Xenopus tropicalis: one gene and its partners. The protein of the gene in region 4 interacts with the protein of the main gene of each other region in a biochemical or structural test. Links are inferred from orthologs where the notes say so. Each region holds a gene or a part of one and is shown on either strand. Other genes may lie near its edges. The genes, in order: atf2, sp1, ets1, jun, atf3, batf3 and pin1.

Region 1 (3,500 bases), on a different chromosome or scaffold from region 4:
TGTAATATGCTCTTATAGGAGTAAGCACAGCAGAATAAAAGTAGAATTGTGCCTACAGCTATCTGCAAAATACTGTGTTAGAATTCTCCACTGTGTTGTTAACTAGTCGGCTTTTCCCACCGCTGGTAACTGGCCACTCCCTGACGCCTAAGGCTAGGTTCTCATGTTGTGGGCCCAAGTATGCATTAATTACATGCTAAACTCAAGTTCTGTATCCCAGCAAACTGGGTAAATTGTAGATAACCCTGATAGGTATGTGAAGTTAAGGTTGACTTTCTGGGACACAGTTAAATGAGTATATATGCAGAGTCCCATCATCTATCAACATTCTAATTTTCATGGTTTTTGAGGTTCTTAAAACCATGAACAAACTCATTTTCTCTAAAACCACAAATGCCAATGAATTCATTAATACAGCCTTTTTTAAAAACCATGAACAAAAAAAAGTGGAAAAAATGTGAAAAACACAAATTTTTCATTTTGTTGCACATATAAAGAGTAAAAAACCCCAAAGCAAAGAAAGACTGTTTCAATTTGTCTAGGACAGCTCCCTTTGACCTCAACAGCTTTTAGATGACGTATTTTTACTTTTAGATTTGTTGCCGTTTTTACACATAATAAATAGCAAAAAAAAAAAATGATGTTTTTCTGCAACAAAAAAAACCCAACCTTTACTAAGCTGGTCCCTAACTATAGATTTGCTTTCTCCTTTCACAGTTACTAGTGTGAGGGATCTTACAGTAATGTTTAGCAACATACCTTAATGCTACTAATACATATTTAACCATAAAAAACACCAACAGGAGAGGTTTTTCCATCAACGTGGATTTATGGAGCATCCCATGTACAAGACACTGTTTTATTATTAAAGAAAAAAAGGGAAATCAGTCACAAACTATGAACAATTTGTTCAAATAGGACTCTGTAAGAAGTGGCAGTACAGGTATGAGATCCCTTATCCAGAAACCCGTTATCCAGAAAGTTCAGAATTACAGACAGCCCGTCTCCCATAGACTCCATTATAAGCAAATAATTCTAAGTTTTAAAAATGATTTCCCATTTCTTTGTAATTACAAAACAGAACATTGTACAGGTATGGGATCCCTTATCCGGAATGCCATTATCCAGAAAGTTCCGAATAACAGAAAGGCCATCTCCCATAGAATTATTTGCTTATAATGGAGTCTAATTTTTAAAAATGATTTCCTTTTTCTCTGTAATAATAAAACAGTGCCTTGTACTTGATCCCAACTAAGATATAATTTATCCTTATTGGAGGCATAACAATCCTAGTGGGTTAATTCAATATTTAAATGATTTTTAGCAGACTTAAGTTATTGAGATCCAAATTACGGAAAGATCCCTTATCCGGAACCCCCCAGGTCCCAAACATTCTGGATAACAGGTCCCATATCTATACTTGATCCCAACTAAGATGTAATGACCCCTTATTGGAGACAAAACAATCCTATTGGGTTTATTCAATATTTAAATGGTTTTTAGCAGACAAGTTATAGAGATCCAAATTACAGAAAGATCCCTTATCCGAAAAATCCCAGGTCCTGAGCATTCTGGATAACAGGTCCCATACCTGTACCATATTTTTGAGCTTGCTGGGTAACACATTTCCAGATAACAGATCCCATACCTGTACTATTATTTTCAATCTTCATTTATATATGTATTATCTTTCACAAGAGATGAGAATATTAAAATTAATATATTTAGTCCAGTTGTTTTGTTTGCGCAGCTTCAATTAACATTTTGTTGTGATCTACTCCAGCAGCACAACCATTTAGTCTAAAGGCACACGGGAGTATTTCAACCACTTGGAGTGCCAGGTTCTTAAGGGAACCCAAAACCAGCCACTATTGCATTAATGTTGTGCATGGGAATTTCAATGAAGCCTACATGGGCCGGCATTAAAGTTTAGACTCGAGAAACTGAAATATAATGAATTAAATAGGGCTGGATTTAGGCCTGGACCCCGATTTAAGTACAACAAAGTTGTAAACCAAAATAAAAAAACATGACTATACTTTACCATGCTGCATTTGTCAAAACTAAGACAAACTGCCCCCATCCCAAAAACTATAGCACTTTGCACAGCTTTATCACAACATACAAAAAGCACTAATGTTGTAAGAAATAGCTTTTCCTTAAGTTAAATACACATTTTTACTTAAGATGCCTATAGATTGATGCATTCACATATTAAAATTAAAACAAAGACATTTCCTTAAAAATATAAATAATCAGATATTGTCTCTTAGGAAAAATAAAAGAATTGGATAAAAAAGGTCAATGTTAGTGTGTGATGAACAAGGGAAAAGAAACAGCACACAGCAAAGACTGGTGGATCAGCACAATAACATTACTAGGAATATGGAGTATTCACACACATACAAACTTACTGGGACTGAAGCAGGTATGTGTACATTGGAATTTGTGATTGAGGCAGGAATAGCAACAGGCATGGTTTGTCCATTAGGAAGATGTAACAATAGAGGAAAAGGAGCTGGAACTGGTCTGAGGATAGAAAAAAAAAGCAGGGATGCTAACCTTAAAAACAAGGCAACCACAGACTTTGCACATCCAAAATCAGTGATCAAATGTACGTTATCCTTTTAAACACTGATCTATGTCTTGGAACATTGGCAACATTGGTAATTATTAGGTTTCAGCCAGGACATAGAAAGCCTATTTTTACAATACAATCAGGAGCCTTGGACTGCAACCCATTAGGAAATATCAAAGATATCAAATTATTGTACTGTTGAATGTTTATTTTAGAACATTAAAAGCGTATGCCCAAAACAGAAATGTGTTAGAGCTCTTAGTTTAGAGTTAAACTACATGCCTGCCATTTCTGGGTGACGTGTCAACTTAGATTGTAAGCTCTACAGGGCAAGGGCATAACTCAGACGTTACTGCAGCAGAAATACAGAGCTCATTTACTTGCAGTATGGCATCTTACCAGCTTTTCATGGAGAAATTTTTTTTTTTATATATAAGCAGAATAACAGTTAAATTAAATATATGTCAAAATTTGGCTGAGGAACTGTTCCATAGCTTATTTTTCTCCATGAGAATGTATACTTTCCCTTTACAGCAAACAAGTGCAAGTATTTTTAAGTTACACACTTCAGTGCGCTATACATGATAGGCATGCCTACAAATTACAGACTTGTAGAATTAATTTTTGCATATTTCCATGAACACAGTCAATGAAAACAGTCACAGTCAATGTAATTAGTTCTGTGAGCAGTCACTTTGTTATGAATTTTAAACTTTTTTCACACCCAAAATGCTCTGTTTATTAAGGGGAAGGTTAAATTAAAGGTTTTTATTTTTGTATTAAGAAGCAGGACAGCTATGCCACTTTCTATGAGTTGCTTGGCTGACATACAATCTTTATTAAATCCAAACTTACTTCCAGGGTTCCACCAGCATGGCCTGTCTTATCCATGCCCAGCAGTTATCACATGCCCAGCAGTTAT
Region 2 (4,139 bases), on a different chromosome or scaffold from region 4:
CACACAGAAAGATGGTAGAAAGAGTGACCACCTTACAGGAGAAGGCAGGCCAATGCACCATATGCTACGTGTGGCATTAGCCTTAGCTTACCCCAATGTTAGTGAGAGAGGTAATGGTGCAGGTGGGTCATTGCCCAGGCATGTTAGTGTGCATTCCCAGGAAAAACACACAGTATTACTTATTTTACATTAAAATAATAAATATAATGGAAAGTCAATAATGGAAGAAAATTTGTTGTCAAAAAAAAAAAAAACAAACAGCTTTGAATGGGACCTATTACCCTGAATGCATGGACCTAGGTTTAAGGGATTTGAGTAATTTGCATCACTATACAAAACACAAAAGAATTGTTTTGCCCCAGATTTATGCAGCTAAGATACTATCGATTACAAGCTACTGTTTTATTACAGAGAAAAGGGAAATCATTTTTATAAATTAGTATTATTAGCATAATATCACATCGAATTGCTTTCCCCACATCCTGGTGCAGGCTAATAGAGCCCGCACTCTGGTTGGGGGAAACACACACACATATAATATATATATATATGTGTGTGTGTGTGTGCTGCTCCTACGTCACACATTTGCGCACAATGAGTGAGGAGTCTTGCTCATTATGCACATGCACGCTAAATAACATGGCCGCCCGTGGGGGCTGTTTAAAAAAAAAAACCTATTGTTTTCCAGAATGCGGGCTCTAAAGCCTACACCTCTGGTGGCGGGAAGAAACTAAATGGTGATAGGTGCCCTTTAAACTTAGTTCTATGATGGTCTGCAAGCAATTTAGAGCTTTCTGGATAAGGGATTCTATAGCTGTAGCACTCTATTACATATACATGGTTCAGCGTTGGGAAGATATCCAACATCATCAGTTGGGGGCGCCACCTCCTGCGATGGCCTAAGACAGCACAAGCTGCAGAGATAACCATGCCTAGGTGGGTGTTGGTACAAAGACAGTACTACCCACAATGGAATAAACTGGGTGTGTGCTGTAAGTGATATTTTATTGTTGCACAATAGCAAAAATAACACTCAGTGAAATTTAGTGGAGCATTGCCTTTCCAGCCTTTGCTACAAATCTGAGCAGATTTAACCCTAACTGCCATTTACACTCGGCCCCCACCAGCCGAAGCAGCAGATGCAGTTGCTGAATTTAATTAAAAATGTAGCTGCCAATAAGATGCAAGACTGAACGTGAATGTCAATTTAACCCTTCTACGGCTATGTCCTAGGTGCCATTTGCAGTATTAGCAACAGCACAAAGAGTGCCAGCATGTAAACAAACCAGCATGTCAAGGAGACAGCCAGAGAGAGAACAGGAGGGACAGGGCTGGGGGGAAGGGTTTCTGGGGCCTGCCCCAAGTGGGCAGTCAGGAACAGGGGGTGGGAGGTTTGCCAGCCAAAGGGTGGGAGGACAGCAGCCATTCTCAAAGAGAAAGGAGGAAAAAAAAAAAGGCCTCAGCCCCCCTCCCCCATGCTCATCCAGTGTACAGGCAGCCAAGGCGAGAGGGCTGGATAGTTCCCAGGCATGGTCCCTGCCTATCTGTGTATAATGCAATATGGGTGGGTTCCGCTTACCTGCCCCTTCTGGATGTATCCACCTCCTGTCCGGTTTTCGGACTTTATCGTAGGCATGTCATCGGACGTGTGCTCCTGATCTGCTGTCAGCGAAGGGCACAAGCACAGAGAGAGAGTGTGTGAGTGAGGGCAGTGAGTAAACATGCACACACAGGCTTACAACATGGCCGGCCCTACTTCCCTGAGAAACACAAACCCCTCAGCTTAGAAACAGACTGCTGAACTACAACTCTCACAAACCTCTCAATACTGGAAGTGAAGAGACTCACAAACATGTTTCCCATCTATCAGCCTAGATAGCCTTAGCAGCACTGTTGTGGAACTACAACTCCCACAACCCTCTGTAGAGGAGTACGTTCTAGAAGTAAAATGATTTACAAATAAATATAAATGGTCTACATAGGCTTCACCTGCGAGTAATGGCAACTCCAGAGGCAAACTACAACTCCCAGCGGCCCCGTTCAGCAGGTTAATGAAGGGATCTACCGGATGAAGGTCCCTCCCATCCATACGATGTCAGTGAAACTGCCCGAGCTGAGGGCGGATAATGGTTTCAGGGGAACTACAGATACCCCACAGCTACGGATACTGGGAGTGTTTGGGCGCCAGAGGGGCAGATATCCCCAGTGTGAGGCAAGGATTGCTCTGGGCAGGGGGGGCTACAGAAGGAGGGCCGCAGGCTTCACATTATAGGCGAAGGCAACGGGTTCCGGGGAACATTTTAGGGTCACGTATTGCCCTTTCCCTGTGTCACGAAAAGTACCGGCTACCATGCTAGGAGGGGCGGGGGGCAATTTTACAATTCTACCCCACCCACCGAAGGGGGCAGAAAAACAGGGCGGGAGAGGAGGACAGCAGGGAGGGGTTCTACCGCCACAACCACCTCTCCAGTTATAGGGAAAAGTAAAAAGGGGGCGAGGAAGGAGAACGAACGAAGTAGTGAGGGCGGATATGACTTTATTTCTACACCCCCGCCTCCTCCTCCGGTGGTACCGGCCGCTCTCAGCATTCCGCCAGCGAGTCATGGCGCGCAGCAAAAAGCCCACAAAGTGGCCAGGGGGAGCGATCCCTCACACAAGCTGCGTGCGAGCAAGCCAGGAGGGGCTCTGGGATAAGCTTGCGAACCCGCGTTACCTCCCGCCCTTATGCCCACTCTCCTGCTTACCGCTCATGTTGTTTCTGGGGCCGTAGGTACTTCACACAAACCTCGGCTGACGATGGCAACCTAACCTGGCTGCCGCGCGGCGGAGACGGTGAGTAGGCGGGGCTACGGGCGGAGATCGACAGACCGCCTAACCACTCCCGCCGAGGGGCGGCTCCACCCGCCCAATGGGGTGGCGCGGTGGGTGCAGTTAGCTGGAGACTGACAGAGAAGGCTGACCAATTAGAGGTGGAGTGACCCCGCCCAGCCACGGAGGCGGTGTGTGATGGGGGAGGGAGATGAAAGAATGTGGCGGGGGTGGTGGCTCTCTAGTCTGAACCCTTCCCAAGGTTAGAGTGACACTGAAAAGGGCCAATCATAATCGAACGAAGTCCAAGGCGTTTCATTAAGTGACGAATCATACGAGAAAAGCAAGCAATTGAAGAGCTGTGTGAGGAGGGGAAGGGAAATTAAAGTTTGACTGGTCGTTGTAGGGTTTGGGCGCCATTTGCTGGAATTGCAGAATGTCGCTCTTTAATTATTTAGAATAACTGGCCACAGCTATTAAAGTATTCGTTTTTATTCGGCATCAGCCTACGTGCAAATAGGAAGCAAGATGGCAGCAGTCGGAGTTGCGACTGAGTGGCTACGTGACTAAAGGGGCCGCATTATCTGTAATACAGAGAGGGAATGATGGACGGGTCGTGCATAGAAAATAGCAGGTTTAGAATAAATATCAGAGTTACAACAATAAAAAAAAGTGACATAGGTTACATAAAGCCGAGCACAATATATAAGGCTTATTTTCTTTATTGGGCCACTTCTTCCAAATTGATATCAATAATTATTAAGCAGCCAGTCCAGTAAAGCATTGTCAGTCCTATCATTAATAGAAATATATTGCTCAATAAAAAATGAATGCCTTTTCTTGAGAAAACAGTCCTGGCTGTATTTATTAGATTGTAAGGGCTCTGGCACACGGGGAGATTAGTCGCCCGCGACAAAACTCCCTGTTCGCGGGCGACTAATCTCCCCGAGTTGCCTTCCCCTGCAAATCGGCGAAAAAGCCTCGCGAGGCAACTTCGGCGATTTGTGCTAAATCGCGCCGCCGCGTGTGCCATCCCACCGGCGACTTACATTTTCGCCGGTGGGATGGCAGGGGAAGGCAGCTCGGGGAAATTAGTCGCCCGCGAACAGGAAGTTTTGTCGTGGGCGACTAATCTCCCCATGTGCCAGAGCCCTAAAGGTGTAACTGAGTCCATCACCATTAAGCTTCCATTTTATAGTACAGTTTGCTGATGCTTCCATGTAGCTCAATTCCCATATTGCTTGAGGCAAAACGACATAGGGGCACATTTACAAAAGCGTGAACACTCCGAGCGTATTTTCGCCGATTTTTTCGGGCGTCCGCACGACTTT
Region 3 (3,239 bases), on a different chromosome or scaffold from region 4:
GAAATATACATTTATTCATAGAAGTTATTTCTTTAGGGTCTCTTTAAAGCTTTTAAACATCATACAGACATGTGGCAAATGGTGACCATATCCTGATTATCCTGAATGGGCAATCATAAACATAGAGGTGCATGCACTAAAGATTTAGCAGCTGATGTAGATTGGGTGTATAAATCCCAGGCAGGCTTGTGCACATACCCCGAGTCTGACTTGAATGTTGATTTCCTACTGGAAAACATCTGCATTTATTGCGTCACCATAACCTACCTCATCTGGATCAGAGAGCTTAAATTCCCAGCCGTCCCCTGTCCAGCTGATAAAGGACTGGCACGATTTGTCTGTCAGTAACTCCAGGAGAAACTGCCACAGCTGGATTGGTCCACTTCCTATAAGGAAATAAGAAATGAAAGATAGCTGAATCTGGTTCTTGTTCCCTTTCTAAGACCTCTTAATGAAAAGTTCAGAATTGTATGGTTACATTTTGGGGGATAAATCTCAAATATCAACAGTAATCGATGTACACACATAAAAATAATTAACTTAATGGAAAACAATACCCCCTAAACAATGAGGGTCTCTATAAAAATCTAAAAAAAAAAAACAAAAACAAAAAAGCCCATATGTTAAGCAAGCTTAATCCAAATACAACATTTTCATAAAAATGAACTTTTCTAGTAGTAAGTGTTACTGGATAATCAAATAGAAAAACTGTAATTTTAAGTACTATGTGCTGCCTCCTGGGAACATATGATTCACAGTGCACACAAACAAACCAAGGGCACACATACATGTTAGGTCACATCAGCCAATGAATGGGCAATGTTCTGTCTTTAACCCTCACACTTCTTCCTGTTACAGTAATATATATATACCATGACTTCAGAGGATACAAATTATTTCTCAATATAAAAGAGTGTGCGATAATCTCTGAAATTTGGGTTTCATATGGTCTCTTGCTACCTCCTCCTATGTCTAAACTGATAAACTCTCCCCCTCACACATTTTCACACAAAAAAAGCAGGTGCAGTGACAGGCTTTTTCTCAAGCCATATCACAACAGAATTTTTATGTTATAGAGGCAAGAGCCCAACCACGTGTACCACTCTTCTTCTTACAGCTCTTACCATACATCCATCTAAAAATAAGCCTGCTAATAAATATGAACTAACACTGACTCACCAGCAAATATGAGGTTCCTGTATTACTCAGTGTGGCCCGGCTAATGTCCCAACCAAGCACACTGTATAAGAGTGTATAAGAGTATAAGAGCTTGCTGGGGTATAATAGAATAGAGCTTTAGAAGAAATGTGAAATTACCTTTTCTCTATCAATTACTTTACGAACTATGTCAAATAATCAAGCAATATCCATGTTATGTGCTCTAGGATTTGTATAATTTATCTAAGAACGGATTCCCAAGCATGACTGAACATTTTTTTTTACCCAAGGCCTACAGACATGCATAAAAGACCAATGAAAACAGCACACTTCTGTACTTCACTCTATCCCAGTGACACATGCCCTCAATAGGGTTCAAAGTCTATACCCAGTCAATGGGACTCACATGCTATTCCTGTGCACAATAAAGCCTCTGTTTTGGCAAGGCTGGCCATGTCAGAAAGAGCAGTGGGGTGATTAAATCTGTCACATGTTAGGAATGTGGCAATCTCATTGGGAAAAAATGTCTCCCTATTCAGACACTTGGTGGTGCAAGGGAGGGGTAAGAGAACTCTTGCCTAAAAATAACCTCAAGACAGTACACTATTCTGTCCCACATTTTCCTATATGTCCATCTTAGAATGCTGTCTGGCCCTTTGAGAAGAAAGATAAAAATGTTTATTATTAAGCAGACATTATCACAGCACGACTAGAAAAAAAAAAAAAAAAAAGCAAAAGACATGTTGGCTGTGTTGTACAGACAAAGAGTCTAATATGTACCCATCCAATGTTAAATGTATTGCATTAGTACCGAATGCTTAGTGTATGTCATATTCACTTGAGTTTAAGCGCATTGTGACCCGTGCACACTTTTGGCTCCAGATTTCAGGCCACAGCTGTTCTGTGCCATGACCACAAGCCCCATGAGTGTACGGCGAATGGAACATTCTCAGGCTCAAGATGACTTTTTCTCTCTAAGTTAGAAAATATTTTTTGTAGATATCTACTAGCTTAGCATGCGATAATAACTCCTTCATTGCCAGAGTTGTCTCTAGCCTGCTGTTTTGTCTTTAATCATCACAACTACTAACCTTGAGTTGCTGATAGCCTGTGACAATTAACACAAAGTATAACATAAAACTGCTGAGTTGCTAAGCTGAGTTGCTAATGTTAAGCAAGCAATTAGCACATTGGTGCTCTGTACACACAAGGAATGGAGACCCTGTAACCACTGCTCACTGCATATCTAGAAGCGACTGCATTCCAAAACAGACCCATTGTGTTTGCATCACTCTACATAGGTTTAGGCTTGGAACCTCATGGCATGCCCTGGATTCTACAGGGCCAAAACCAACAGAAAATTCCAAGAGAAAATTACAGAAACCTGCTGTTTGCATATTTAACCTATTACTATAATCAAAAGCTTGGTTACATTTGGTGAACAAACCGGGCTGTGTAAACATCATCAAGATCAAGATGGCTGCAGCTAAACACAAAGAGCAATAAATCACCATCAATCAGGCATAGTTCTAAACTGGCAGCGAACAGATACTTCAGCATGTCAGTAAAAATGAACACTTATTTATATAAGGTTCTGGCCCTTTAATAACTTGCCTTAAAACAATAATTTGCTCTTATGCTGAATAATGACCACAGTTAAGAATAATATTAATACTAATAATAATACTACTACTACTAATAATAATAATAATAGAATTCTGTTTATGATGAGGATAACAGGAAAATAGTTTTTGTGAACTTCTTCGTTACAACACTGGAGGTTGGGTGTCATTTTAAAGCAGTTCTTTTATAAGGCTGAAAACTGATGCTTTAATACAAATCCCGGGTGACAGGGAATGCAACTTACAATAAGAATGGGTCTGATCACTTTAACATAAAGAAAATTTCCACCTGAAATATCCAACATGAGAGTTGTCTGGTCTACACATAAAAGATGACTCTCCAAACCCAAGTCATGAACCAATACACGGCAGAAAGAATCCAAGTATAATTTAGATCAGTAAAGACATTATAGAAGGTTGAGACAAGAGATTAGGATGAATGGTAAAGAAAAGATATGA
Region 4 (3,939 bases):
TCACACCTCTTGTGTTTCCCAGTAGCACCTTAAGAAACAAGGACTCTAAAATGCTACAGTTTAATAAATTAGTTGGTATATTCTCATCAGTAGCTACTTTAGTTACTACTACTATATCAATTTGTTACACTTTTCTTTTTTCAATAAACTTAGGAAAAGCAACTATTTATCAATTTGTAAAATTGAAGAGGGCTGGCAACCAGTTGGTATTTGTGGTGCACAATTTGGAAATGATTATTTAGCCAATAAGGCTGGAGAATACTGTAAACCATTCCTAACCCCTCAAACATATAATAACAGCAGCAAACTCTTGCCAAAAGCCCAGAACTTTATAATAGCATATATAAATAACCCCAAGTGCTATGATATAAAGAAAATATTGGTCAGTATGTTCTTTTCTGCTTTTACTTTTATATTGCCCAATACCCATATCAAATAATTGTCAAAATATAATACCCTTGAATAGACTCATGCAATATATCAAGTACTATACACAGGAGATAGTTTAACATGCACGTTTATTGCAGTGTAAAAAAAAATATCAATATAAATAAAAAAATCTAATTTCCACATCTTTTATTTAATATCTTAAATATAATTGAACGTCTGGAATTGTCCTTAGAAACAAAAACATAGAAAATTATTATACTTTATTACAAATGGTAAACTCAAGAGTGCTCAATATCTCTTATTTACAGAAAGTAGTGGGTTTATTAACCCAAACATAAAAATAACTTACAAATGCTTGAAGCAATTTTACTGAAATAATTCAGTTTTTCTTAATATTATAATAAAAAAAACAAATATGTACACATACACAGTTATGTAGAAGGCAGGCAGATTTGTCATTAATTTTACTTTTCAATGTCCCGTATGCCTCCCTCCCACACCCTCCCTTTGTAAGAAAACTACGGAAGCAATCTAGTGTCTCTAGCAGTTTAACCTTTTCTTAATACTGAATGATCATCGAATGTTAGGTCCATGCAGGTCTTGGTCAATGTTAAACATGTATCTGATGTTTCATTAGAGCAGGAACAGCACTTGACAAGTGATACTGCTTGTTGCATTGCCACAGGCTCCACCTAAAGGCTTGTCAGGACTCCCCGCACACGCACGTAGAACAGTCAGGTCTCAGTGCCTTTCATTTTGAGCCAGGGAGTTTCAACATGAAACTATTTCCCTCCACAAAATAATTCTCACATCTCTTTCCCAAAGAAGCCTTTTCAGAATGTTTGCATCTGCTGTGTTAACATTAGCTGACACCCACTGTTGACATGATTCATGACTTTTTGTTTGAGCTGGGCTACTTGCTCTCTAAGCATGTTGGCAGTGGATGCCAGTTCAGAGTTCTGGGATTTTAAGTTTTTAACTTTGTCTTCCAACCTGGAAATCCTCTCCAGTTTCCTTTTTCTGCATTTAGATGCTGCGATTCTATTCCTCATACGCTTCCTTTCAGCCTTTATCCTTTCCTGGGACTCCATGTCAATAGGGGACAGTGGAGGAGTCTCCCCAGGCATTTCAGGTACAGTCTGTGGTTCCTCTTTCAGAGCCTGTAACCTGGGGTGCTGCACGGGTATTGGTGGGTTACTCTGATGTTGGCCGGTATACCCCATGGTGTTGCTGTTAAAAGGCGATGATGTGGTGATGGTACTTGGGTTAAAGTTACTTAGATTGGCATACACAGGGGGCTCGTTGTGAAGACTATTGTTGAAGCCAGTGTTTCCAGCAATAGTAGATACAGGTGTCAGTCCCGTGCTGGCAGGTTGGGTGGCAGTGGTTACACTTGGCAAGTTGTTTTGATGGTGGAGTTCTGCCAGTGCCCTAACAAACCCCTCTGCAAAGCCTTCTTGCTCGTCTGTGACATTCTTGGGGCACAGGAACTGGGTGGGGGTCGGGGTGGTGGTAATCATGCCATTGCTGGACTGGATGATAAGCCTCTCCAACTCCGGGGAGGCGAGCTTGAGAAGCCCAACATCAGGGGAGGTGAGCAGTTCAGCTGCCTTGTTTCTCAGGTGAGGTTTGATGGCGCTGCTGGGGTCCGACAGGTTCAGGGTCATGCTTTGCTTCAGCACCTTGTTGTAACCATAGGGAGTAGCATCGTGCTGGGCGAAAGCAGCACTCAGGGCATCTTCGTAGAAAGTAGGTTCCATCCTTGCAGTCATAGAACGGATGCCGGACAGGGACGATGACTGGACCTTACGTTAGTGTGACACCAGCACCAGCCTAGAGAGAAGAGCGAACAGGTTGTTAGCTGACACACCGAACCCCATGGCACCTCCACCCCTCTTCTAAATGGAACTTATGCTTCGCCTGCCGAACTACAACTGGCAGTGTCCCGTAGTGAGAGTTCAAGCACAACTGCTCCCAGCCTGGCACATAACAGAAATAAATGCGACTTACTTTGTGTCTCTAGCAGCAAAGAGGTCCTCGTACTCCGAACGCCACAAAAGTTCTTATAAACTCCCGGGAAAGTTTCCAAAGCGCCGCCGGAGATATGTAATGGCGAGCGCTGGGTGTGTGCGTGTGCCCAGTATAGGTGTCAGGCACACGGACACAAGGAAGAAGTCACTGAGAAGTTAGACGTTCCTTCTCCCCAAGCGCCACAAGTGCTGTCAGTGTGAGCTCTACTCACTTGTACTGGGCTGTGGGACAGCGTGCAGCTAACACTTATCTGCGAGCGGTCACCCACTAAAAATAGACATGATGTCACCCCAACGTCCTGCTATTGGTTGAGCCTTGGGAAGGGAGGCGGGCCAGCGAGGCCAAATGAGCCTCGGTCGCTATGACGACCGCCCTAGAAGATTCTAACTCTCGCGAAGGCTCATGGGATGAGGTAATGCTCCTTTGCCGCTGGGCATTGTGGGCTGACGTATTGTTGTTGGCGGTGCCCGTTCCTTGCTTTGGTAGTTGGGATGGTAGTTTGACGTGGGTTTCCCGCCATAAGGGCTGTTCCGCTCACCCCCTGGTACTGGACAGGGGCTTGAGGCAATTGTATGGTAGTCGTAAGCCGCGGAGGAGACTCATCCCTTTCCTAGCAAAGCGCGATATGGTTGTAATGGTTGTCTGTCACATAAGGAACCGGAGGACTTGGGCTGTGTTTGTCGGCTGGTGAAACTGAAAACTCAGAGTTGAAACAGATTATTTCCACAGGTTTAAGCGATCAGTATGGCAGGTTTTTCAATATGTTGTTTGTTAGTTGCCGAACTAAAATGTGGTAGTGGTTGCTGGGAGTTGTAGTTTTGAAACAACTGGTTATTTTCGGTAGAATGTTATTAGTGTGGTATAGTTTTACTGGCTTTATAGTTATTGTTCTCTTCGCTGTTTTACTTTGTGTAGGACACGGGGGAGACCAAGTTGCAGCCCTCCGGCCATTGCGGGTCCGTGTGTGGGGGTGGGGCTGTATGTGACTAGGAGTTCAACAAGAGCTTGAGGATCGCAACATTGCATAGATACACCAGTGTCAGTGACAGAGAACATGTAAGGCTGTATAGCATCATTGTTATTAAAAGGGTCCCAGTGTTGTGTAGGCATGTGCTACATTCTAATGATCATGCCTTTCTGCACTGGGGTGGATAGCCAGGGAGAAAAGGTGAGGGAAAGTTTTTTTTTTTTTTTTTTTTTTTTTTTTTTTTTTTTTAATTTGGTGGGGGAGGGAGTTTATTGGTGGGTGGGTGTGTAGATTATGATGTGGGCGTTGATGAAAGTAAAAAAAGGATGATTGGAAGCAGGGTGAAGGAGGTAGGGGGAGCGCTGGGGAGGCTTAAAAAGTTTACAGGAGATCAGGTTGCATCCATGAGAACGGAGACTGGCTTTTATGGGTAGAGAGCAGGCAGGCTATTTGGTTTATCACCAAAGTGAATAGAAAATCCTTAGAAATTGATAGAGATCTTGAGTATTAAACCCACTCTTAACAGCTGCTGAGCTACAGCTTCCATGATA
Region 5 (4,171 bases), on a different chromosome or scaffold from region 4:
GGGGCATCAGGAGAGGAAGGCTGGGGGGCATCAGGAAAGGAAGGCTGGGGGGCATCAGGAGAGGAAGGCTGGGGGGCATCAGGAGAGGGAGACTGGGGGGCATCAGGAGAAGAAGGCTGGGGGGCATCAGGAGAGGAAGGCTGGGGGGCATCAGGAGAGAAAGGCTGGGGGGCATCAGGAGAGGAAAGCTGGGGGGCATCAGGAGAAGAAGGCTGGGGGGCATCAGGAGAGGAAGGCTGTGGGGCATCAGGAGAGGAAGGCTAGGGGGCATCAGGAGAGGGAGACTGGGGGGCATCAGGAGAAGAAGGCTGGGGGGCATCAGGAGAGGAAGGCTGGGGGGCATCAGGAGAGGGAGACTGGGGGGCATCAGGAGAGGAAGGCTGGGGGGCATCAGGAGAGGGAGGCTGTGGGGCATCAGGAGAGGGAGACTGGGGGGCATCAGGAGAGGAAGGCTGGGGGGCATCAGGAGAGGAAGGCTGGGGGGCATCAGGAGAGGAAGGCTGTGGGGCATCAGGAGAGGGAGACTGGGGGGCATCAGGAGAAGAAGGCTGGGGGGCATCAGGAGAGGGAGACTGGGGGCATCAGGAGAGGAAGGCTGGGGGCATAAGGAGAGGAAGGCTGGGGGGCATCAGGAGAGGAAGGCTGGGGGGCATCAGGAGAAGAAGGCTGGGGGGCATCAGGAGAGGAAGGCTGGGGGACATCAGGAAAGGAAGGCTGTGGGGCATCAGGAGAGAAAGGCTGGGGGGCATCAGGAGAGGAAAGCTGGGGGGCATCAGGAGAGGAAGGCTGTGGGGCATCAGGAGAGGAAGGCTGGGGGGCATCAGGAGAGGAAAGCTGGGGGGCATCAGGAGAGGAAGGCTGTGGGGCATCAGGAGAGGGAGACTGGGGGGCATCAGGAGAGGAAGGCTGGGGGACATCAGGAGAGGAAGGCTGGGGGACATCAGGAGAGGAAGGCTGGGGGGCATCAGGAGAGGAAGCTGGGGGGCAGATTAGGAAGGTGACCCGACAGCACGGTGCAGGGCAGAATCCATCCGCCTCCCATGTGTTTGTTATGTGTGCCTCCAGGCAGCAGGCGGGGAATCGCTGGGGTAACAAGGAATAAAAACAGCCAAACAAGCCAAAGGCGCCCTCTTCCTGCTCTTTCCCTGCTGGGATCCTCCTCCCGCCGTCACATGCCAGCAGCCTGCAGTCATTGTCCCCGCCTGGGCACCATTGGCTCATACCGCTGCCGTGTAGGAGTTAATAATGACCCTCTTATGGCCAGAGGCTTCCCCCCAGTGTCTGTGTAGCTCCTCCCTCCGCTCCTCCCTCCCGCACTACTTCCCCGGTCCCCCCGCTTGCATCACCGCCTGGGCTATTAATAGAATGACGTCAGGGCGGGCCACATTCCTCCGCTCTCCGTGCGCGGCTATATAAAGGGGTGATGCAACTGCACTGCCACAGCTTCTCCCAGTCAGAGCGGGGGAGGCACACGGGCAGCCGAGTAGTACAGCCAGCGGCAACGCTTCTCCCTCACTTCCCACGGAAAGAGCACGGTAAGGACCGGGGAGGCAGAGCCTCGAACGGTACAACTTTCTCTCTTCCTGAGTCCCTACTTCCCCGCCGGGCAGGCTGAGCCGCAGCGCTTACTCCTCTACTTTCCTCTAGCTTGTTGTGTAACCAGCCCGGTCCCAACTCCGGGAAACTTCCCTACTCTGCTGCCGGAGCGGGACTCGCTCATTGGCTCTTACAGGGGCTTTACTTTGTGCCTGGGCTGCTTACTTACCCTTTATTCCAGCTGTGGGATAACTTTCCTTATGTATAAATCTACCATCATATATATATATATATCTGCCATTTCTCCCATTTATATATATAGTTTTGCTTTACTTTGTGCCTGGGCTGCTTACTTTCCCTTTATTCTTTGCTTATTCGCTGCCTGAGTTTGGGCAGTGGCCCCTGAGCCCCCCATTTTATTCCCTGTGTTACACATGGGGGAAAATGTATAATTTTATCTTTGGAGGGGATATAACAGTATTGCCTGGGACTTATCGCTGTGTGATAACTTTACTTATTTATAAATCTACCATCATATATATATATATAAATATATATATCTGCCATTTCTCCCATTTATATATATAGTTTTGCTTTACTTTGTGCTTACTTACCCTTTATTCTTTGCTTATTCGCTGCCTGAGTTTGGGCAGTGGCCCCTGATCCCCCCATTTTATCCCCCACACCGGTCCCTGTGTTACACATGGGGGAAACTTTATAATTTTATCTTTGGAGGGGATATTACAGTATTGCCTGGGACTTGTCGCTGTGTGATAACTTTACTTATTTATAAATCTACCATCATATATATATATATATCTGCCATTTCTCCCATTTATATATCTCCAATATGTAGTATATGTTTCATTTATATATCATCTTTATCTATATATCTCCTGTCATCTATATAATCCTATTTATATTTTTCTTTTTAACACTATATTATAATTTTTATATCATTAACTATATATTGTACACTGTCATTTATCAGCTATATATCTGTCATTAAAATATCTCTCATCATCAATCTCAGCATCTCTATATTTCCCATTTTGTCACATCATCAATGTATCTCACATTATAGTTCATCATCTATAGATCTCTTATTATCTGTATATTTTCTATCTTTTATATATGTGTCATTAACTATATATATATATATATATAGTTAATGAAACATATATAAAAGATAGAAAATATACAGATAATAAGAGAACTATAGATGATAGTTTTAATAAGAGAACTATAGATGATAGTTAGTTTTATATATAAATATATATATATATATATATATATAAAACTATCATCTATAGTTCTCTTATTATCTGTATATTTTCTATCTTTTATATATGTTTCATTAACTATATATATATATATATTTATGTATCTGCTATGTATCTGTCTATCTTAATATAACTCTCATTAATTGGATATCTGTCATATCATACGTATAGCTCCCATCTTTTATTTATTTCTCATTATTTATATCCTGTCTGTATATCTCATGTCAGCTTTATTCTGTCATTATATATCTCCCATTATCCACGTATCTCTATATAGTCTCATTTATATATCCCATTTTTATATTTTCATTTCTATATCTCATATATATATATATATATATATATATATATATATATATATATATATATATATATCCTCAGGTGTATATCCTCTATTATCTCTATATCTAGCCATATATATTTCTCATTTACCTATGTCCCATCATCTATATATCTTCTGTAATCTGTATATCACTCCATGTCTATATATCCACGTGTAGCTGTTCATCTAGTTGAATGCCTGTTTTATTTCTCTCACTCTTGTATCTGGGTACCTGTATCTCTTGCAGTCTCTTTACTTTCCATCTGTCTCTCTCGCTCTCACTGTGCCTCTCTGCTGTAGGAATGGGTTAGTATATGTGTATGACCGTGAGTGCCCCGTTGGGATGGTAGTTGTGAGTGCAGTTTAGTTGAACTTTTCCCTTAAGCTCATTATTGTTACATTGGAGACAAAGGGAGATCCCGGCAGGCAGAGAGTTTGGGCTTTGCCCTCTGTATGAAGAAGTGAAGGGCCAGTTGGCTGTGTGTGTGGGAGAGGCAGCCCAGTTCAGTGCCCGGCACACCCAGTACCAGTACACACATAACCTCGGGCTGCCTTTGTCCCGCGCTGGGAGGTTTCAGTTGCAGCCTGGTGATGAAACTGCTGCCTAATACTTTCACTTCTCCCTCCTGTGTCCTGTGTACGTACTGGCCTCAAGGTGGCGGTACATTCCAGCAGGAACAGCACACTCAGGGTTCCGGCAGGAATTCCAGCTGTAGGATTGTGGTTAGAGCTGAGGATCTGGCAGCTGGAGCACCGGCTCTCATGGGCAGCACATTACTGTGCTTTAGTAGCTGCATTGCCAACAGTTACAACCAATGTATCAACAGTTCCAAGAAGTATAATATAAAGATAGGAGAATATAATATTATAGTATAATAGGTACATTTTGATTGTTGTTTGTCTACCCCTTTAATTAGTTGCTGCTTGCAATGGGGATCAGATAGGATCTGTGCCACTGTAACGGAATGCTCTGTTATACAGATAGCTAGAATCTCAGCCATAAAGCAGGGCAGGACTGCTGCTTACAATG
Region 6 (4,150 bases), on a different chromosome or scaffold from region 4:
TGTATATACTCGAGTATAAACCTAGTTTTTCAGCACCCAAAATGTGCTGAAAAAGTCACCCTCGGCTTATACTTGAGTTGGGTGCCATGGGTCTCTCTAGACTAGCACCCTCTCTCCTTTGTGTGCAAATTAGGCCCCCCGCAACCAGACCCTCCAGTGCCCTGGCCTAGGCTCCCTGTAGCAATACTTATTTCCCCTTACATCTCCTCCGGGACTGGGTCTGCTGCCAGTTTGCCAATGTGCAATGATAGTGGGGTAGTACTCATATTGTTTTTGTTGACCCTCTTTAACACTTACAGAGCTAGTTTACTGTTTTTCTTTTAAATAAATATTTAAAGACATATACCCCACTGATGCCTCAATTAATGTAATTTACTGGTTTTTATTTTGATTATTGAAACTTAGCAGTAGCTAAGTCAATAAGTTTTTCCAGTTTTCTTAGGTAAAATTAGGTACCTCGGCTTATATTTGGATTGGCTTATACTCAAGTGGTATTCTGTATATTATGTATAAAGGTATATTGGTTAGTCCCTAAGCTGAGGTAAATGACAGCAGTCCAGAGCAGGTGCTGGGACATAGCAGGGAATTACTGGGGGCATCTTCAGAGGCACAGATCTTAACTTCTAAAGGGTTCTTGCCGCCTTGGACTGGTACAACATAAGGTGTAACATATCTATGTCAATTCTTTGTTGGGTTTTAGTTTTCCTTCACTTTAGCAGATTCTCTTGCTTTCCCATGGGGCCACAGTCACACCATCTAAAAAGAAGATCTGGCCTGCTGCCATTGATTGGATGGTGGGTAGGGCTGCCATGTTTCCTGGGGACAAGATACCAACATTGCTATGTCTGTTGTCTTTTCTTTCCTATTTGGCAGGAAGGGTCGGCTTGACTGACTGGTAAAATACTGGCCAGTTGGCAACCCTAGTGAGAGATCTAATGATGACAGACTGTGATCTTCTGCCCACCTACCCATCTGACTAAATCATACAATATTCACCTATAAGGTCTATAGACTGGTTATGCTTTTTAAATGCTCAAAATTAACAATTATTTCCTTTTTTAATTCCTAAAAAGAGAATCTTAGACAACCCACTTTCAGAACTGAGTATTAAATCTTTCCTCTGTGTTGTGGTTGAACTCCATTAGTAAGAGCTCAAGAGCTTAGCAGTAAACAAACTCGAATGAGCTGAAAAGGAAGTGGCTTGTTCATCAGAAACACTTGCGGCAGAGCTCACACTTACTCACTGGGTGCAGTCGCAGCCCTTTACTTACACATGAAACCTGCCTATAGGAGAGGATCATTGAATGTCTGTGCAGAATCCAATTAGCTGGCATCTCCCCCAAGCCTGGCATGAAGGTTGTAGACTTGGCTCTGGGCATCCTGATGGTCAAATGCATCTTTGTGTGGTTGTCACAATGTTTGGGTGGTACAGTGACAATGCCAAGAGATTGCAGTGTTTGGTCAAACTGCTTTATACTTTTCACAGTTCTAGAAATACATGTATGGGGCCTTTTATCCGGAAACCCATTATCCAAAAACCTCCACATTACGGGAAGACCATCTCCCATAAACTCCATTATAATTGAATAATTTTTATTTATTTATTCAATTTTTCTCAGTAATAATAAAACAGTACCTGTACTTGATCCCAACTAAGATATAATTACCCCTTATTGGGGGCAGAACAGTCCTATTGGGTTTATTTAATGGTTAAATGATTCCCTTTTCTCTGTAATAATAAAACAGTACCTGTACTTGATCCCAACTAAGATATAATTACCCCTTATTGGGGGCAGAACAGCCCTATTGGGTTTATTTCATGGTTAAATGATTCCCTTTTCTCTGTAATAATAAAACAGTACCTGTACTTGATCCCAACTAAGATATAATTACCCCTTTTTGGGGGCCAAACAATCCTGTTGGGATTATTTCATGTTTAGATCTTTTTTTAGCGGGCATGGTGTTCCAAATAAAGGAAATGCACCTATAAATGCTGCCTATACCCACTTTACACTCTCCTCTCTCTCTTTCAGAGCTCAGATACCAGCGACAGGAAGGTTCGCAGGAGAGAAAAGAACAGAGTTGCTGCCCAGAGAAGCCGGAAAAAACAAACACAGAAAGCTGACAAACTGCATGAGGTACAGTACAAGGGTTGGAAACCCATCATCCTTTTAGATATTGCTGAACTACAGGTCCAGCAGCCATCTATAGGGGAGCAGGTTGCTTGCTTTTGCAATGGTTCTTCCTTGCATACCTTAAGTGGAGGGGTTTACTAGGAAATTGATATGGTTTGGTTGGAATGGGGTATGGCTGGTTGAAAGTAGGCATAGTATATTTGAATCACAACCGCAAATATCTCCCAATTTAAACTGGGAATAACGGGATGCAGTGGTCCCAACTGACCCAATATAATCTAGATTCCAGTGGGATAGGAGGTTTGTGGGCTGTGCAAGAGTGGAGCACAAGCACATGGTGGACGGGACTTGGAAATATTTTTTTGTTGCTTTTGAAACAGATGTCTTTGAATTCAAAGGAAAGCTAAAAATAACAATTAGAAGTTTGCTCTAGTTCTAGTAACCCACAGCAACCAATATATGACCTGTATTTATAGTAAATTGAGCCATCTGGTTGCTGTGGGTCAGGCCCAGACTGGCAATCTGTGGATTCTGGCAAATGCCAGAGGGGCTGTAAGGTGCCACAGTCACTATTTATTGGGCTGCTGGGGGCTGTTTGTACCTCTGTGTAATTGAAATGGGTCCCAGTGCTGACCTGCTGTGGGTAACAGGAACTGGAGGAAACACAAATTGTATTCTCCTTCTACTCTTAAGGTCCCCATACACGGGCCGATTATAGCTGCCGATATCGGTCCCTTGGACCAATTCGGCAGCTTATCGGCCTGTGTAGTGGCAGAACCGAGGGGCCTGGCCGACCGATATCTGGCCTGAAATTGGTTGTTCGTTGATGCGGCCCCCGATCCGACTGCCCCATTGCCGCGTGTAGAATTCACCTACATGCCTCCCCGATATCGCCCACCTGTAGGTGGGGATATCGGGTGAAGATCTGCCCATGTATGGCCAGCTTTACAGCCATACAACCAGTAATCTGTCATTTTATTTTCATGATAGTTCCCCATTAAGCCTTAATACAGGTGAGGGAGTAGCCCATACACAAGATGACGTTTCCCATACATCAGCAGTGACAGATCCTAAAAGGACCACTTTCTCTCTAATGAACATTGTTTCTCTCATTTGACAGGAATATGAATGTTTGGAACAGGAAAACTCATCCTTGAAGAAGGAAATCGGGAAACTAACAGATGAACTGAAACATCTTAGCCAAATTCTGAAGGACCATGAGCAAATATGCCCGTTTCTGCACTGCCCAGTGAACTATGTGACGGTGCCCCGAGTGACAGATGCTGTTCCTGGCTGTTTGCCGCGGTGACTTCCTGGCTGTGAATGTCATTTCCTCTTTGACCTACGGCCACATTTTCTGCTGTATCCTGAAGCCAACAGAATCCCCCCCCCCCCCCCCCCGGTGCATGACGCCATAAACACCTCTGTGATTGTTACTGCAGGGAAAAGACAAATATGATGGAATCGACAACTTACCTATCACTGTTCCATGTCCTGTAAACCAAGATGGCTCCTGGAAATGAGAACTTGACCTCCTGGTTTCTACTGCTGCTTTGTCTAAGGAAGGCCAAGCGCTACACCCCCTTGTTCTACATGAGCGCAATGAATAGGGCTTGTGCTGAACATACTTTTGGATTATTGTTTTTTTTATCAGAAGAAATCTATGATTTTTGTTATTTCTCAAGCTAAATAAGGAAACTAAAGCTGCTCTATGTTTGTTACTTGCAAGAATGTTATTACCAGTATTCAACCCCCTCCCTTCCCCTTTGTTGTGACTGTTCTGTTAGGAGCAGCCTATTATGCAGGGAGATTATCTGTGCACTGGAATCGAATTATCTACTTCTATCTACTATTTATGCACCAAACATGGAGCAGCGTCAGTTTCCCTGTTTTCTCAAGAAACATCAAATAACATAGATTTTTCTTAGTTAAATTAATAAACAAAAATTATGTTTAGCCCCCTATTCATTTGTTTATTTTATTTCCCCTACTTTCTAACTCAATATAATTAATCC
Region 7 (4,259 bases), on a different chromosome or scaffold from region 4:
ATATTAAACTTTGGTGCTATAACAAACTGATAATTGTAGGTAAAATAATACCCACCAAGTAGATCAGCAAGAAAAGAGTTGCGCCCAACGTGGGGCTCGAACCCACGACCCTGAGATTAAGAGTCTCATGCTCTACCGACTGAGCTAGCCGGGCACTTGTGAAACTTTCCATTTACCACTACAGCCCCTCTGTAATGTACTATCATCCCAGTTCTCTTGTAAAAATCCGCCTACAGTTTCAGTGAGCATGCAAAGCTGCCATACATGATCTCGTCACACAATAAAATATCACTAACTATCATCTTTATTTTATTCTATATTATATATAAAGCTGGCAAGCTTTTTTTTAATAATGGCTGCTGTTATAAAAACGATTGAGCAATAAAATAAAGGGCTGTTGTTACAATTAAGCAAAACACACTTTCCCTGACCGGGAATCGAACCCGGGCCGCGGCGGTGAGAGCGCCGAATCCTAACCACTAGACCACCAGGGAAGGTTGTATGTGAAATTGCCAGATTTATTTTTCCAAATCGCCAGTCAGTTCTAAAACCAGTGAAATACTAGTCCAAACCCACTTTGAAAGTAACCCAAAAATAGCCCAATGTGCAATGAAAAAAATTCTACAAAAATAAAAGTACATATGGGAAAACCTGCCTTTTTAAAGCATATAATCACTACCCAGTTACTGGAATGGCTGATAATTCCCTGCCCTCTGTGCCCAGTCCAGCTGGGAAGTCGCTACAGAAATAGATTCAGAATCTTGCATTAACCCCAGACTTATAAATATGGGTGCGTTCAACTACAACTCTCAGCAGCCCCAAGATAACTACAGACCTGCCCCCACATCACATACCCTATAGAGCAGGGAGCAGAACATACAGGTTGAGCCTGAAAGAGCAAAAAGGAATAGAAAACGGAGCCTCTGGCTAAACTGCCCAATTGCAAGCTGGGTATTGTAGTTTTATATTACTCCTAGTTGTAGGCTAATTGTTAGCTACAAACTACATTACCCAGCATGCAGTGGAACAAGCACACTAGGGGAAAAAACTGGCTAGGTTCCAAACTACAAACCCGCCAAGGCTCCAAAAACTAGTCCAAAACGGTACTTTGGCGGGTTTGTAATTTAAAAACAAACCAGGGCTTTAAATTAGTAGCCCAATTTGGCAGAAAAACCGCTAACCTGCCACCCATGCTTGTGAGAGCAATTTTAATGCGTAAGAATAGAGAGAGACGCGAACACATTTCTGCGCATGCGTCATACTGCTGCCAATGCGTACAACCTCTCAGCCCCGCCCCTTGTTTTATTAATTACTCCGTTTATTCCGTTACAGCCAATAGTGGGCGCATATCATTTCCCGCCCTTGCTTTCGGTTTTCAGGCTGACTACGTCGTCGGCAGATTAGTTAGCTTAATGGCTAAAAGCTTAGCAGGGACTTAACCAATGAGAAGCGCCGAGCTGACGGAGTGGTTTGTGTAGGCGGGGCTTGGCCTGACGCAGGAGGGAAAGATGGCGGACGAGGAGAAGCTACCGCCCGGGTGGGAGAAGCGCATGAGTCGAAGCTCGGGTATATGGAGTGTAGCGGGCACAGTTGTTATATAGAGTTAGTGCAGCGCTGGTTTGCTTTGTAGCTGTTCCTATTTTATTGTGTCTTGCACTGTGCATAGCGTCCTGATAAAGGTGCTGTTGCAAAGCTGCAGAACTACAATTCCCACTTTGCATTGCGCATTATAGTATTTAGTCGCCTGTAAACAGACTAAGAAATGCTAAGCATTGACTGCTTCTGCTACTGTATGGGGCCATGACTGGTGCCCTAGTATCTGCACCTATCTGTTCAGTGTCATTTGTGTCAGAGTTCGATCTGTTCCTGCTTAGATGCTGATGTGTCTGTGATTAACATGGTGCCTTGTGGCTATGTATTGTATGTATCCTGCTCGGGAATGGTCTTCAGTCAGGAGCCAAGCAGGCAAGGCCCTTCAGAGATCCTTAGTGGGGCCTAAATTAGTACAGTGGCCCCTGGGAAAGGGCCGTGGTATAGTAGGGAGAGATGGTGCCTATAGTAGCAGTGGGGGGATAATAGCCTCTGGGAAGGGACTGGGGCTGTGGGATAGCAGGTATAGTAGGGAGAGATGGTGCCTATAGTAGCAGTGGGGGGTAATAGCCTCTGGGAAGGGACTGGGGCTGTGGGATAGCAGGTATAGTAGGGAGAGATGGTGCCTATAGTAGCAGTGGGGCGATAATAGCCTCTGGGAAGGGACTGGGGCTGTGGGATAGCAGGTATAGTAGGGAGAGATGGTGCCTATAGTAGCAGTGGGGGGGATAATAGACTCTGGGAAGGGACTGGGGCTGTGGGATAGCAGGTATAGTAGGGAGAGATGGTGCCTATAGTAGCAGTGGGGGGGTAATAGCCTCTGGGAAGGGACTGGGGCTGTGGGATAGCAGGTATAGTAGGGAGAGATGGTGCCTATAGTAGCAGTGGGGGGGTAATAGCCTCTGGGAAGGGACTGGGGCTGTGGGATAGCAGGTATAGTAGGGAGAGATGGTGCCTATAGTAGCAGTGGGGGGGGTAATAGCCTCTGGGAAGGGACTGGGGCTGTGGGATAGCAGGTATAGTAGGGAGAGAGAGCCTCTGGGAAGGGACTGGGGCTGTGGGATAGCAGGTATAGTAGGGAGAGAGAGCCTCTGGGAAGGGACTGGGGCTGTGGGATAGCAGGTATAGTAGGGAGAGATGGTGCCTATAGTAGCAGTGGGGGGATAATAGCCTCTGGAAAGGGACTGGGGCTGTGGGATAGCAGGTATAGTAGGGAGAGAGAGCCTCTGGGAAGGGACTGGGGCTGTGGGATAGCAGGTATAGTAGGGAGAGACGGTGCCTATAGTAGCAGTGGGATAATAGCCTCTGGGAAGGGACTGGGGCTGTGGGATAGCAGGAATAGTAGGGAGAGATGGTGCTTATAGTAGCAGTGGGGGGATAATAGCCTCTGGGAAGGGACTGTGGCTGTGGGATAGCAGGTATAGTAGGGAGAGATGGTGCCTATAGTAGCAGTGGGATAATAGCCTCTGGGAAGGGACTGGGGCTGTGGGATAGCAGGAATAGTAGGGAGAGATGGTGCTTATAGTAGCAGTGGGGGGATAATAGCCTCTGGGAAGGGACTGTGGCTGTGGGATAGCAGGTATAGTAGGGAGAGATGGTGCCTATAGTAGCAGTGGGGGATAATAGCCTCTGGGAAGGGACTGGGGCTGTGGGATAGCAGATATAGTAGGGAGAGAGAGCCTCTGGGAAGGGACTGGGGCTGTGGGATAGCAGGTATAGTAGGGAGAGATGGTGCCTATAGTAGCAGTGGGATAATAGCCTCTGGGAAGGGACTGGGGCTGTGGGATAGCAGGAATAGTAGGGAGAGATGGTGCTTATAGTAGCAGTGGGGGGATAATAGCCTCTGGGAAGGGACTGTGGCTGTGGGATAGCAGGTATAGTAGGGAGAGATGGTGCCTATAGTAGCAGTGGGGGGATAATAGCCTCTGGGAAGGGGCTGTGGGATAGCAGGTATAGTAGGGAGAGATGGTGCCTATAGTAGCAGTGGGGGGGGGGGATAATAGCCTCTGGGAAGGGACTGGGGCTGTGGGATAGCAGGTATAGTAGGGAGAGATGGTGCCTATAGTAGCAGTGGGGGGATAATAGCCTCTGGGAAGGGACTGGGGCTGTGGGATAGCAGGTATAGTAGGGAGAGATGGTGCCTATAGTAGCAGTGGGGGGATAATAGCCTCTGGGAAGGGACTGGGGCTGTGGGATAGCAGGTATAGTAGGGAGAGATGGTGCCTATAGTAGCGGTGGGGGGATAATAGTAGGGAGAGATCGTTTGCAGCTTATTGGCCCATGTACAGTGCTGCATTCATAAGTAGCACTATTTACAAAAAAATTATACATAAATGCATGTATGGTGACGAGAACTGAATTAGTGCGTTTATGTTGTCCTTGACTAATGGGTCTGCATAGGGCCATTTTAGAATCTGCTTTTTATTGGCCCAGAAGCCAGTCAATCTGAACAATCCGATCTGGCTCAGATCAAATGAGCAGATATGTTAATGTATGAGTAACGCTATGCTATGAATTCTCCTGCTTTTTTTTTTATACCCAGTTATGGCTGCTTGTGAGTATAGACGTAAGCAGGGAATAAATGTTCTTTTGACATAGCAAACTTTGGCTTTACTTTACTGCCTGTGTACTAGATACTCTTGCTGTACTTTATAATCAATATAGCTGTC

The links.
Region 1: the proteins of jun (region 4) and atf2 form a complex in vitro, tested with the Homo sapiens proteins (4 studies listed by BioGRID and IntAct, with this or other methods). The link is inferred for Xenopus tropicalis from reciprocal best matches to the Homo sapiens genes JUN and ATF2.
Region 2: the proteins of jun (region 4) and sp1 form a complex in vitro, tested with the Homo sapiens proteins (2 studies listed by BioGRID). The link is inferred for Xenopus tropicalis from reciprocal best matches to the Homo sapiens genes JUN and SP1.
Region 3: the proteins of jun (region 4) and ets1 form a complex in vitro, tested with the Homo sapiens proteins (2 studies listed by BioGRID). The link is inferred for Xenopus tropicalis from reciprocal best matches to the Homo sapiens genes JUN and ETS1.
Region 5: the proteins of jun (region 4) and atf3 form a complex in vitro, tested with the Homo sapiens proteins (2 studies listed by BioGRID and IntAct, with this or other methods). The link is inferred for Xenopus tropicalis from reciprocal best matches to the Homo sapiens genes JUN and ATF3.
Region 6: the proteins of jun (region 4) and batf3 form a complex in vitro, tested with the Homo sapiens proteins (2 studies listed by BioGRID and IntAct, with this or other methods). The link is inferred for Xenopus tropicalis from reciprocal best matches to the Homo sapiens genes JUN and BATF3.
Region 7: the proteins of jun (region 4) and pin1 form a complex in vitro, tested with the Homo sapiens proteins (2 studies listed by BioGRID). The link is inferred for Xenopus tropicalis from reciprocal best matches to the Homo sapiens genes JUN and PIN1.

Annotation. Positions count from the first base shown.
Region 1 is NC_030685.2:64,397,698-64,401,197, forward strand, and holds part of atf2 (cyclic AMP-dependent transcription factor ATF-2), read right to left. Parts: intron 2,530-3,500; coding exon 2,415-2,529; intron 1-2,414. UniProt on the Homo sapiens protein: Transcriptional activator which regulates the transcription of various genes, including those involved in anti-apoptosis, cell growth, and DNA damage response.
Region 2 is NC_030678.2:146,984,287-146,988,425, forward strand, and holds the start of sp1 (transcription factor Sp1), read right to left. Parts: upstream 2,801-4,139; 5' UTR 2,752-2,800; coding exon 2,745-2,751; intron 2,438-2,744; exon of another isoform or gene 2,090-2,437; coding exon of another isoform or gene 1,990-2,089; intron 1,663-1,989; coding exon of another isoform or gene 1,660-1,662; coding exon 1,580-1,659; intron 1-1,579. UniProt on the Homo sapiens protein: Transcription factor that can activate or repress transcription in response to physiological and pathological stimuli.
Region 3 is NC_030683.2:72,029,909-72,033,147, forward strand, and holds part of ets1 (protein C-ets-1), read right to left. Parts: intron 387-3,239; coding exon 268-386; intron 1-267. UniProt on the Homo sapiens protein: Transcription factor. Directly controls the expression of cytokine and chemokine genes in a wide variety of different cellular contexts. May control the differentiation, survival and proliferation of lymphoid cells.
Region 4 is NC_030680.2:86,738,570-86,742,508, reverse strand, and holds jun (transcription factor AP-1), read right to left. Parts: upstream 2,668-3,939; 5' UTR 2,163-2,667; coding exon 1,224-2,162; 3' UTR 501-1,223; downstream 1-500. UniProt on the Homo sapiens protein: Transcription factor that recognizes and binds to the AP-1 consensus motif 5'-TGA[GC]TCA-3'.
Region 5 is NC_030681.2:14,463,323-14,467,493, reverse strand, and holds the start of atf3 (cyclic AMP-dependent transcription factor ATF-3), read left to right. Parts: upstream 1-1,371; 5' UTR 1,372-1,535; intron 1,536-4,171.
Region 6 is NC_030681.2:14,411,603-14,415,752, forward strand, and holds the start of batf3 (basic leucine zipper transcriptional factor ATF-like 3), read left to right. Parts: upstream 1-1,350; coding exon 1,351-1,406; intron 1,407-1,975; coding exon 1,976-2,138; intron 2,139-3,255; coding exon 3,256-3,444; 3' UTR 3,445-4,150. UniProt on the Homo sapiens protein: AP-1 family transcription factor that controls the differentiation of CD8(+) thymic conventional dendritic cells in the immune system.
Region 7 is NC_030679.2:136,780,425-136,784,683, reverse strand, and holds the start of pin1 (peptidyl-prolyl cis-trans isomerase NIMA-interacting 1), read left to right. Parts: upstream 1-1,459; 5' UTR 1,460-1,508; coding exon 1,509-1,566; exon of another isoform or gene 1,567-1,602; intron 1,603-4,259. UniProt on the Homo sapiens protein: Peptidyl-prolyl cis/trans isomerase (PPIase) that binds to and isomerizes specific phosphorylated Ser/Thr-Pro (pSer/Thr-Pro) motifs.